2 linked regions of the Neodiprion lecontei genome follow. The protein of the gene in region 1 binds, or shares a complex with, the protein of each later gene. Links are inferred from orthologs where the notes say so. Each region holds a gene or a part of one and is shown in the gene's direction. Other genes may lie near its edges. The genes, in order: dolichol-phosphate mannosyltransferase subunit 1 and dolichol-phosphate mannosyltransferase subunit 3.

Region 1 (4,128 bases):
GTGTCATGAAAACATAATTTATAAGTGTAATTAATATGTATGCTCTTTGTTTTTACTATATTGTATACTATGTATACGAAGTTTTTGAGAGAGATTATTACTTTCTGAATAAATTGATTAAGTACCAGAGTGTTTCACGTACATTAATAATTCGAATCGACACGCTACCAGATACATTTTCAGCCATGATTTAAAATTAGTCAGAATCAAATGAAAGTATCCTGCAATGGAATGTAAAATTTCAAGTTCACAAACTATTGTTGATAATGTTACTATGTGCAATTCAAAGAATTATTCATACATTACGATTTTGAACAAAATAAAGCGTACCAACTTGAGAGGAAACACAAAGTTAGATGCTTATATTTGCAGTTACATAGCCAGTCATGTGAGATTTATCCTATTCTTTAAATGCTAAGATAATACGATTCGTGTAAATCCGCAAATCTCAATTGTATAGGGATAAAATATTTATCATAAATACATAATAAACATAGTATTCAACATTAGTGATATAATTGCATAGTGTAACTGGGAACAAGTTTCTGGCACAAGTTTGGTAATAATTTGTTACTCACAGTTGGGAAGTAAGAAAGGGCTTGAGAGGCCCTTCTATAAATAAGAGATCCGAAAAAATTTCAGATAAAATTAGAATGAACATAGAATGCAGTCAATGCATAACTGTGGGTTATGAAAAGTGAAACTAATTCAGATTGAAATGGCTCCAAGTAGTTTGAATTAAAAGAAAAAATTCACGGTGCCTCAGCCTTTATAGTTTTTCGACCCATACTGAGCTGGGGAAACGTGCTTTTGTTGGGTGGTGGATTCAATTTTGACGATAAATGAACAAAGGCATCATACAGACTTGGTCTGTCCAATACGTTTACCTCATAATGCCTCAGTTTTTCTCTCGTACACCAGTTGGCTGCTTTGCTAGCAGTGTTTTCCAAATTATTCAACTCAACGTCAGGTTTTGTACGATTTCCAATAACGATAATAGTGATTTCTTTTTTATCTTTGTGTTTGTCTATGTCTTTTTTCAGCGGAAATAAAACGTCTAGAGATTCAGGTTTTGCAGTATCGTATACAAGCACATACCCATCGGCAAAGCCAAGGTAGTGCCGTGCCAACTGTGGGCTACTTGCATTCGTCTGTAGTGGTTCCAATCCAGCTGTATCATAAAATCGTACCTTTTCCTTTGTACCTCGATCTGTCTCTATATTTGCAACGTAAATATCTTCGATAGTAGGATGAATTTCCTGGAATAAAAATTAGTTTTTTTCTCGTTTTGTCTCAACCATTCGCTACAGCCACAGTACTTACATTATTTATAACAAATAAATAAGGATATATACATCTACTTTATGGTAGTCAGATAAGTACTGAATAGCGTTGTATTCTAATTTAGAAAAATCTTTGTTGACAATGTGTACAAACCCTAAAGTAAAAATAGAGGAGATTCTTCAAGCAATAATTATTTCTTTTTATGAACAAGGCGAAGCGCAGTTGGGCTGATAAATTTGAACGGTCTAACAGAAAAAGAATATTGTTATCCATATGATGATCTTACGGAGTTTGTGGTTACGTTTCCATAGATGAGTTGTTCCAAGAGAGCAGTCTTCCCTACTCCCTTCATTCCGCACACCACCACTCGAGTAGTTTTTCCCATTTTCGATAGCGGACCCGATCGGTTTACCTAGATTGGGTAAAACAAATGTTCACATCTTCAGTATAAATCCAGTAAAATTGTGCAATTCGACGAATACATACCGAATATCGGTTGTTAACTAATCAACAGCAACATCACACTTCTAGCCGTCAGACTACGTAGCCTGTTGCCGTCTATTTAACTGTGCAAAATGGTTTGTTCTGTCACGCAAATTTGCATACGATTCATGTTTTTCTGTCCTCCGTTCCTGTTAACCTCTTTTCTCTCGGAACGAATCAACATTATGGTTAACATCGACCACTTTGTAGTTTACAACTAACGACATCGACGAGGTTTCTCGGGTAACGTCTTCATCGAAACGCGGCTTGAATGTTCTTACACTTAGCTGTCCGCCGGGTGCTGCCACGTTCAAAGTTCACATTGAACTATGAAGTAGCAATGCCACGGTGATCATTTGACAGTAAACAGCTGACAAAATGAGTGGGGAAGGTTCGACGAATGAGGAACTCAAAAAGCTCACAAAAAATGACAAATATTCTATTCTTTTACCAACTTACAACGAGAGAGACAATTTGCCCATTATCATTTGGCTGATTGTTAAGTACATGGAGAAAAGGTGAGCAATTTTCAACCTAACCTCTAAACTACTACACTGTACTCGTTCACTGGTGCACACATTCATTTGAAGTTACCCAAGTTTAATGTGAATAAATTGCTGTGGTCACGGATTTCACCACGTGCATTTTGTTATTACTTAATTCAAATGGGATTTCACATTATTACTTCTAGCCAATGTGCTTACGAAGTGATCGTTATCGACGATGGTTCACCTGACGGGACATTGGAGGTAGCCAAAGAACTTCAGAAGATTTATGGCGAGGATAAAATTCTTTTGAGGCCTCGGGAAAAGAAGCTTGGTTTAGGAACTGCTTATATACATGGAATCAAACATGCCAGTGGAAATTTCATCGTCATAATGGATGCTGATCTCTCTCATCATGTAATTCTACAATGCACTTTCAGCATGGTTTTCAAATTTTTTGTTTATTCATGCCAGAAAGTAAATTGAGATTCCGTTTGATTTCAGCCAAAATTCATCCCCAAAATGATAGAGCTTCAGAGATATTTAGACTTGGATATTGTCAGCGGTACCAGATACATTGGAGATGGTGGTGTTTATGGATGGGATTTTAGAAGAAAATTAATCAGCAGGGGCGCTAACTTTATTACACAATTATTACTCAGACCTGGCGCAAGTGATTTAACTGGAAGCTTTAGGTATCAACATTTTCATTCATTTGTTCAATTCATTCTAAGTTTTCATTGATTGATACCATATTTAGTTTGGTTGAGTAATTAAATTTTAGACAAAGTCGATTCTGAAATTATCACAACAAATTTGTGTATGTGATTATTTTTCAGGCTGTATAAAAAAGACGTCTTGGAGAAGCTGATTAAATCCTGCGTATCCAAGGGTTACGTTTTTCAAATGGAAATGATCATCAGAGCAAGGCAATTTAATTACCAAATAGGAGAAGTTCCTATTTCATTCGTGGACAGAGTTTACGGAGAATCGAAATTAGGTGGTTCTGAGATATTCCAATTTGTAAAATCAATGTTGTATCTTTTTGCCACTACGTAAGATTATCATTTATAACAAACTTCCTGAATGCAACGTAATAACTGATGTCTGCATTACAGCACACGTTACTACCTGATAATTTTAATAAATAATTATCACCAACATGTGTAGTATTATTTGTCAGAAATTTCACTTAGATCCATTGTACCGATATTGAATGAAGAGGGTTATAAGTTGTGACGTGGTATTTCGTACCCCGTCACTTTGTTTAACTATCGCACTTCCCTAGGTACAAATATCGCTAAAAATAACGAAAGCACGTCTGAGGCCAATACTCCGAAAACGAACGACTAATTATCTTTAAGTTAAACTCTCTTTATTAAGCTAATTTTATTCTATTTTCTAATTTTGTAACGCTCTACAAGAACCATCTACGAGACCTCCGCTTCAAGATACCAGGACACTGCCTGCCAGGGGTCACGTACCAGCTCAACACCGACCACCACCGACTACAGACGAACGAATACCGCTGAAACCACTCCCGATGGATGCCTATCTAAGTTGTGAACAGGGTTGTGCGTGATGCACAAACAGCACCTCCAACTATTTGAGACTTATCGGCCAGGGGCCGAACCACGAATGAATGCTTCTACCGCTCGGATGCATCGTCAGGCAGCGTACAGGGCTGTGCGTCAAAAACACAACAAAGCCTCCCGTCGACGATACTTATCAGCCTGGAGCCGAACCGACCATGACACCTACTAAGTCGTTGTCTATCAAATAGAGTACGGTTTTCTCTTAATGAACCGTCCTATCGAAGGGCTGTGGCGTGGAATAGGCTAGACTATGCTGACCACGTGGATCTGGTGGATATAGC
Region 2 (4,280 bases), on another chromosome or scaffold:
GTATTTACAAAAACATAGTCACCGTCGATTGAAAACAAGGCTGGATATTTGGCGAGGAATTTTTTCAGTCCACTCTGAGAGCCGCCAGCAATTTGTCGCATCTCTTTAGTAAAGCCCTTCGCTCCAAACTGGCAGCTTAAGTCATGCAGAGTTCTCGGGCCTCCCTTGTCCATCAGTCGTTCGAAAAAAAATAGCAAAGTCATATTGCGGACCAACTCATACTCAGAGCTATCCATTTTCTTTACGTGCTATTTTTATTACAATGAGTGTACTGCAGCTGCTACGGGATTGATATGGTGCGCTTTGTGGTACAAATCCAATCTTGATCTGGTGTAGCTTGAGTTCACTTTAATTGTGCATAAAAAAATATTTTTACTTAATTATTGATGCGAAAGTATTTCATCTTATTTTGTAATTAATCCCTGAATGTATTCTGAACTTTTGATTTCATTGCTTCCATATATATTTAGTAGAAAAAACTTTTGCTATGTGAGATTGAGAGCAGAGTTTCCATCAAGTCTAAAATAACCTGTTTGGCATACAAAATGTTTATATGGGTGTATATAAATACCGTTCCCATAATAACAAAGCAAATAGGTTTTCATGGCAGATAATATTTTAGCCTTGCTGTCTAGATAGTTTCTACAACTGAATAAATACAATTCGTAAGAAATAGAACTATCCAGATAGCAATTTTAAAATGCCACAGATTTTAATATTTACACGAAATTCCGGAAAAAATTTGAGGTTAGAATATTAACACATTTAATATGCACATCAATTGGGGGGTTAGTATTTCGTCAAAAAAACTAATAAAATCACGTAAATACGTATTCATCACGGATATTAAAAACTGTCACGATAAAATTTCCCCCGAACAGGTACAATTTGTTACCTCGGATAGTGCTCAGCTGCAACGAAGACCGAGCTTGGCCTCAATTATCTTTGATTCCGAAAAAAAATAGGCTGGTCGAGGGAAAAATTTAGAAAAAAACCGATCCCACTATAACAGAAGCACCTGAAATATATTTAACCACGATATCAGCCTTCGCCCGCGGCCACACGGTACACACACAACTTATAAAATACTATGACATTTTCGCATGAACTTCCACAATCGCCATATTGGCCCGAAGAGCCACAAGAATGTCTGCCTGGCGATGCAAGTGGCGAGTGAACGAATTGGCTTGGGGAGGGGGGGGGAAGCATATGTCAAGTGAATACCACAAAAGTCAAGCGTGCGTCTCGTCCGAAATGTCGTGGGTGTCAGGCCTAATAGTGGATATTATACGATATTATCCTACTGAATGTATTTTTTCCACGCCTCATTGTCGATATCGTTCAATCTCACGAATTTGAAGTTTCATTTCCGTTGCGTTGGCATGGAATTTATTTCTGAATGGGTCACATATATGAAAAAATTGCACTGGGTACAACCGCGGTATACCTATCTTCGCTCTGTTTACCTTACTGACTTGAAATTCTTATATCATTACGCAACGCCTAATTATTCTACCTCATAAAAGAGTCCACCTTATGTATACATATGCGCAGTATAGCACAAGCGGTACGCAATTCGCATATTTATTATGTACAGCGCTTGTAGCTTTCAAAAAAATTTTCAAATAATAGACGCTTGAGCTTGAATTATCATCTGATGTGCATAATATCATTTCTCACATCTTCAACTTCAACTTCACAACGATTATGGGATACAATATGTATAATAGCAATCATACGCAATGTTCCGAACAGTTCTGCAGGTTGCCATTCGTAAAATAAACAAGACACGTATATTGTCTGAATAATAAATTTACTGCTGGCGTTCTGCTGGGTAAAGTGCACTTTAACGTTTGTGAACTATGTTATTTTACTGAAATGAAGAAAAAGACGTTAGTCAAAACTATTGATGACGTTGATATACGGCGCGTATTTTTTAAACGCGACAATGATCGAGTAACAGGAGATTAAAAATAATTTAAAGGTCTGTGGCCTTATTTGTATCAGCTGACCGGTTGTGGATGACAGCTGGCACCCAGCTATGTCTACTTCCTGTTTCCAACAAGATAACTTATTCGTTTCGCCGCGTGCGGACGTGGATTTAAACAGAAAGAAGTTTAAATATTAAACGTCAATATTGCAACTAGTAATTGGTGTTAAAATTCCCCCGAGAATTCACCCGAAACAAATGTAAGCATTGTGTATTCTACAATTTCTCTTTTCGATCATCACCCTCAAAAGTTAACCTAAAAATGCACCATTTAAATACTTCAAAGTACCTTAAAGTTTTTTAAAGGAGCTTGACGATATTTTGCCACTTGTCGGCCACCGTATATCAAATATGCAAAAACGATTCTATTGTTTATTTTTGCAGAATCTCAGAAGGTTAATTCAATTGATAACGAACCATATTAATCGATCCTCAAATTTTCAAACCATAATGGCCTGGTTATGACTATATTATTTAAAAAAAACACATCTTGTCTGTAGCACTTTCGGTATTTACATCTAATTCCTCAATTACCTTGAAACGTGACACTTCACTCTCCTCACTGACCGCTTCGAGACATTCCTCTTTCTTCTTGTTTCAAGTTAATTATGGAATCAGATGTAAATTCGGAACGTAGCTCTGGTTGTACCTTAAAGTCACGTAACTCTAATTGTTGAGTGTCTTACTAACATTTTGTTCTTATCTGTTCTCTTTCAAGATGACAAAGCTTATGGAATGGGTTTTTGTGGCCACAGTATTTTTCAGTATATGGACAGCTGCAATCACTGGTAGTGCCCAATCGACACTCCTAATTAAATGGCGAACACCAATATTATACCTTCCCCTAACATTAATTATACTCTTTGGCTTATATGCTGTTAGTGTAGTTCTTTACCGAACTTTCACTTTCAACAATTGTGAAGAAGCTGCTGTAGAACTCCAAAGGGTAAGCAATCAACATGGGATTGCACATGGAATGCTGATTAACAAAAAAAAATTAGTTCTACAGAACCTTAGATCGATACACTTTACACATTGTTTAGTACCTATTTGTCTATTTCAGGAAATCAAAGAAGCCAGAGCCGATCTTCGTAGCAAAGGCCTTGCACTTAAAGAAGATTAAAGCTCAAATCTAAGTATCGATATCTCATCAGTTGCATTTGATGCCTCTCATCGTCCAGCAATAAATTCATTCGTTTTTTGCATCTCGTGAGACAATAAAATCTGTAATTTCATAATCAAATGGTTCAGCGGTTATTTTCTGAAATATGAAGTACACAATTTTAGTCACGACATGTTCTGAGTATCAATGTAAACAATACCAATATTTGTATCCAATTTTCGAGTGCATCACAGCCAAACCGTTTAAACGAATAGATTTAAATAAACACTCAATGTCAATGTAAATCACTACATTCACCTTTCTTTTATGTATAAGCTTTCATAATATTTTAATTCTAAGACACTGATTGTGAGCTAAAATGTGATCTTAGATTTATTAGACGAAAAAAATATGTATATATACATATATTATACAATAATGTATCAACAAATTGGAAAAATTCCAGGTGAAAATAAAACTTTGGTCAACATATTGAAAATGTATTTTGTAAATTCAATCTGTATAGTTTTTGTTTTTGGTACTCATGAGGTTTTATCTTCATAAGTTGCACCAAATAACGGATGTCTCATCTTCAAATTTTTCGGAAACGGAACAGTTGTCTTTGGAGAAGGCAGTTCCGAAGGAACTAATTTTGAATCAGACACAACTGAGATCTTCTGACAAAACTTCATACGGCCTTTAGATCGGATATTAACTGCAAAAAAAATAACATACAATATCAAGTAGTAGTGTAAATGAAATGCAATTGTAGTATAATAGTTGACGTACGTATTTTATAGTCGTTTTTTCGCTTGCTTGTAGTTAACACACAGGACAGATTGCAAACCCCCTTACTGGGTTTGCTTGAAACTTTGTAGCAGTCATCTCCAAATCTCAATACACTCATCCCTCCAAGTATGATCGTCTGATTCTCAAGATCTTTTGGATTGATCTAATGTAAATGATGTTAGAATATAAGCTACTATTACCAAATACCGTAAAATGATGTGACATATTGGGCGAATAATATACATTGCACTTTTGAGTCAAGTTCAGTTTTCACAGGAGTCGTGATATAAATGTAAAAATTGACAATTATACTGCGAGTTTCATCTTACCATTTTTGGAACATCCAGTATCCAAATTTCATCATCGTCGCTGATATCCTTCAATCGGAAATAAGCCTTT

Evidence for each region.
Region 2: dolichol-phosphate mannosyltransferase subunit 1 (region 1) and dolichol-phosphate mannosyltransferase subunit 3 share a complex: the UniProt entries of both Homo sapiens proteins name them as parts of the dolichol-phosphate mannose (DPM) synthase complex. The link is inferred for Neodiprion lecontei from reciprocal best matches to the Homo sapiens genes DPM1 and DPM3.

The regions. Positions count from the first base shown.
Region 1 is NC_060262.1:37,601,679-37,605,806, reverse strand, and holds dolichol-phosphate mannosyltransferase subunit 1, read left to right. Parts: upstream 1-2,072; 5' UTR 2,073-2,145; coding exon 2,146-2,285; intron 2,286-2,458; coding exon 2,459-2,669; intron 2,670-2,756; coding exon 2,757-2,947; intron 2,948-3,091; coding exon 3,092-3,311; 3' UTR 3,312-3,413; downstream 3,414-4,128. Other genes in the region: NF-kappa-B inhibitor-interacting Ras-like protein, read right to left, coding at 753-1,259, 1,571-1,669. UniProt on the Homo sapiens protein: Transfers mannose from GDP-mannose to dolichol monophosphate to form dolichol phosphate mannose (Dol-P-Man) which is the mannosyl donor in pathways leading to N-glycosylation, glycosyl phosphatidylinositol membrane anchoring, and O-mannosylation of proteins; catalytic subunit of the dolichol-phosphate mannose (DPM) synthase complex.
Region 2 is NC_060260.1:27,862,462-27,866,741, forward strand, and holds dolichol-phosphate mannosyltransferase subunit 3, read left to right. Parts: upstream 1-1,766; 5' UTR 1,767-2,190; intron 2,191-2,708; coding exon 2,709-2,936; intron 2,937-3,053; coding exon 3,054-3,113; 3' UTR 3,114-3,471; downstream 3,472-4,280. Other genes in the region: egalitarian protein homolog, read right to left, coding at 1-236; uncharacterized protein LOC107223439, read right to left, coding at 3,635-3,807, 3,882-4,044, 4,211-4,280. UniProt on the Homo sapiens protein: Stabilizer subunit of the dolichol-phosphate mannose (DPM) synthase complex; tethers catalytic subunit DPM1 to the endoplasmic reticulum.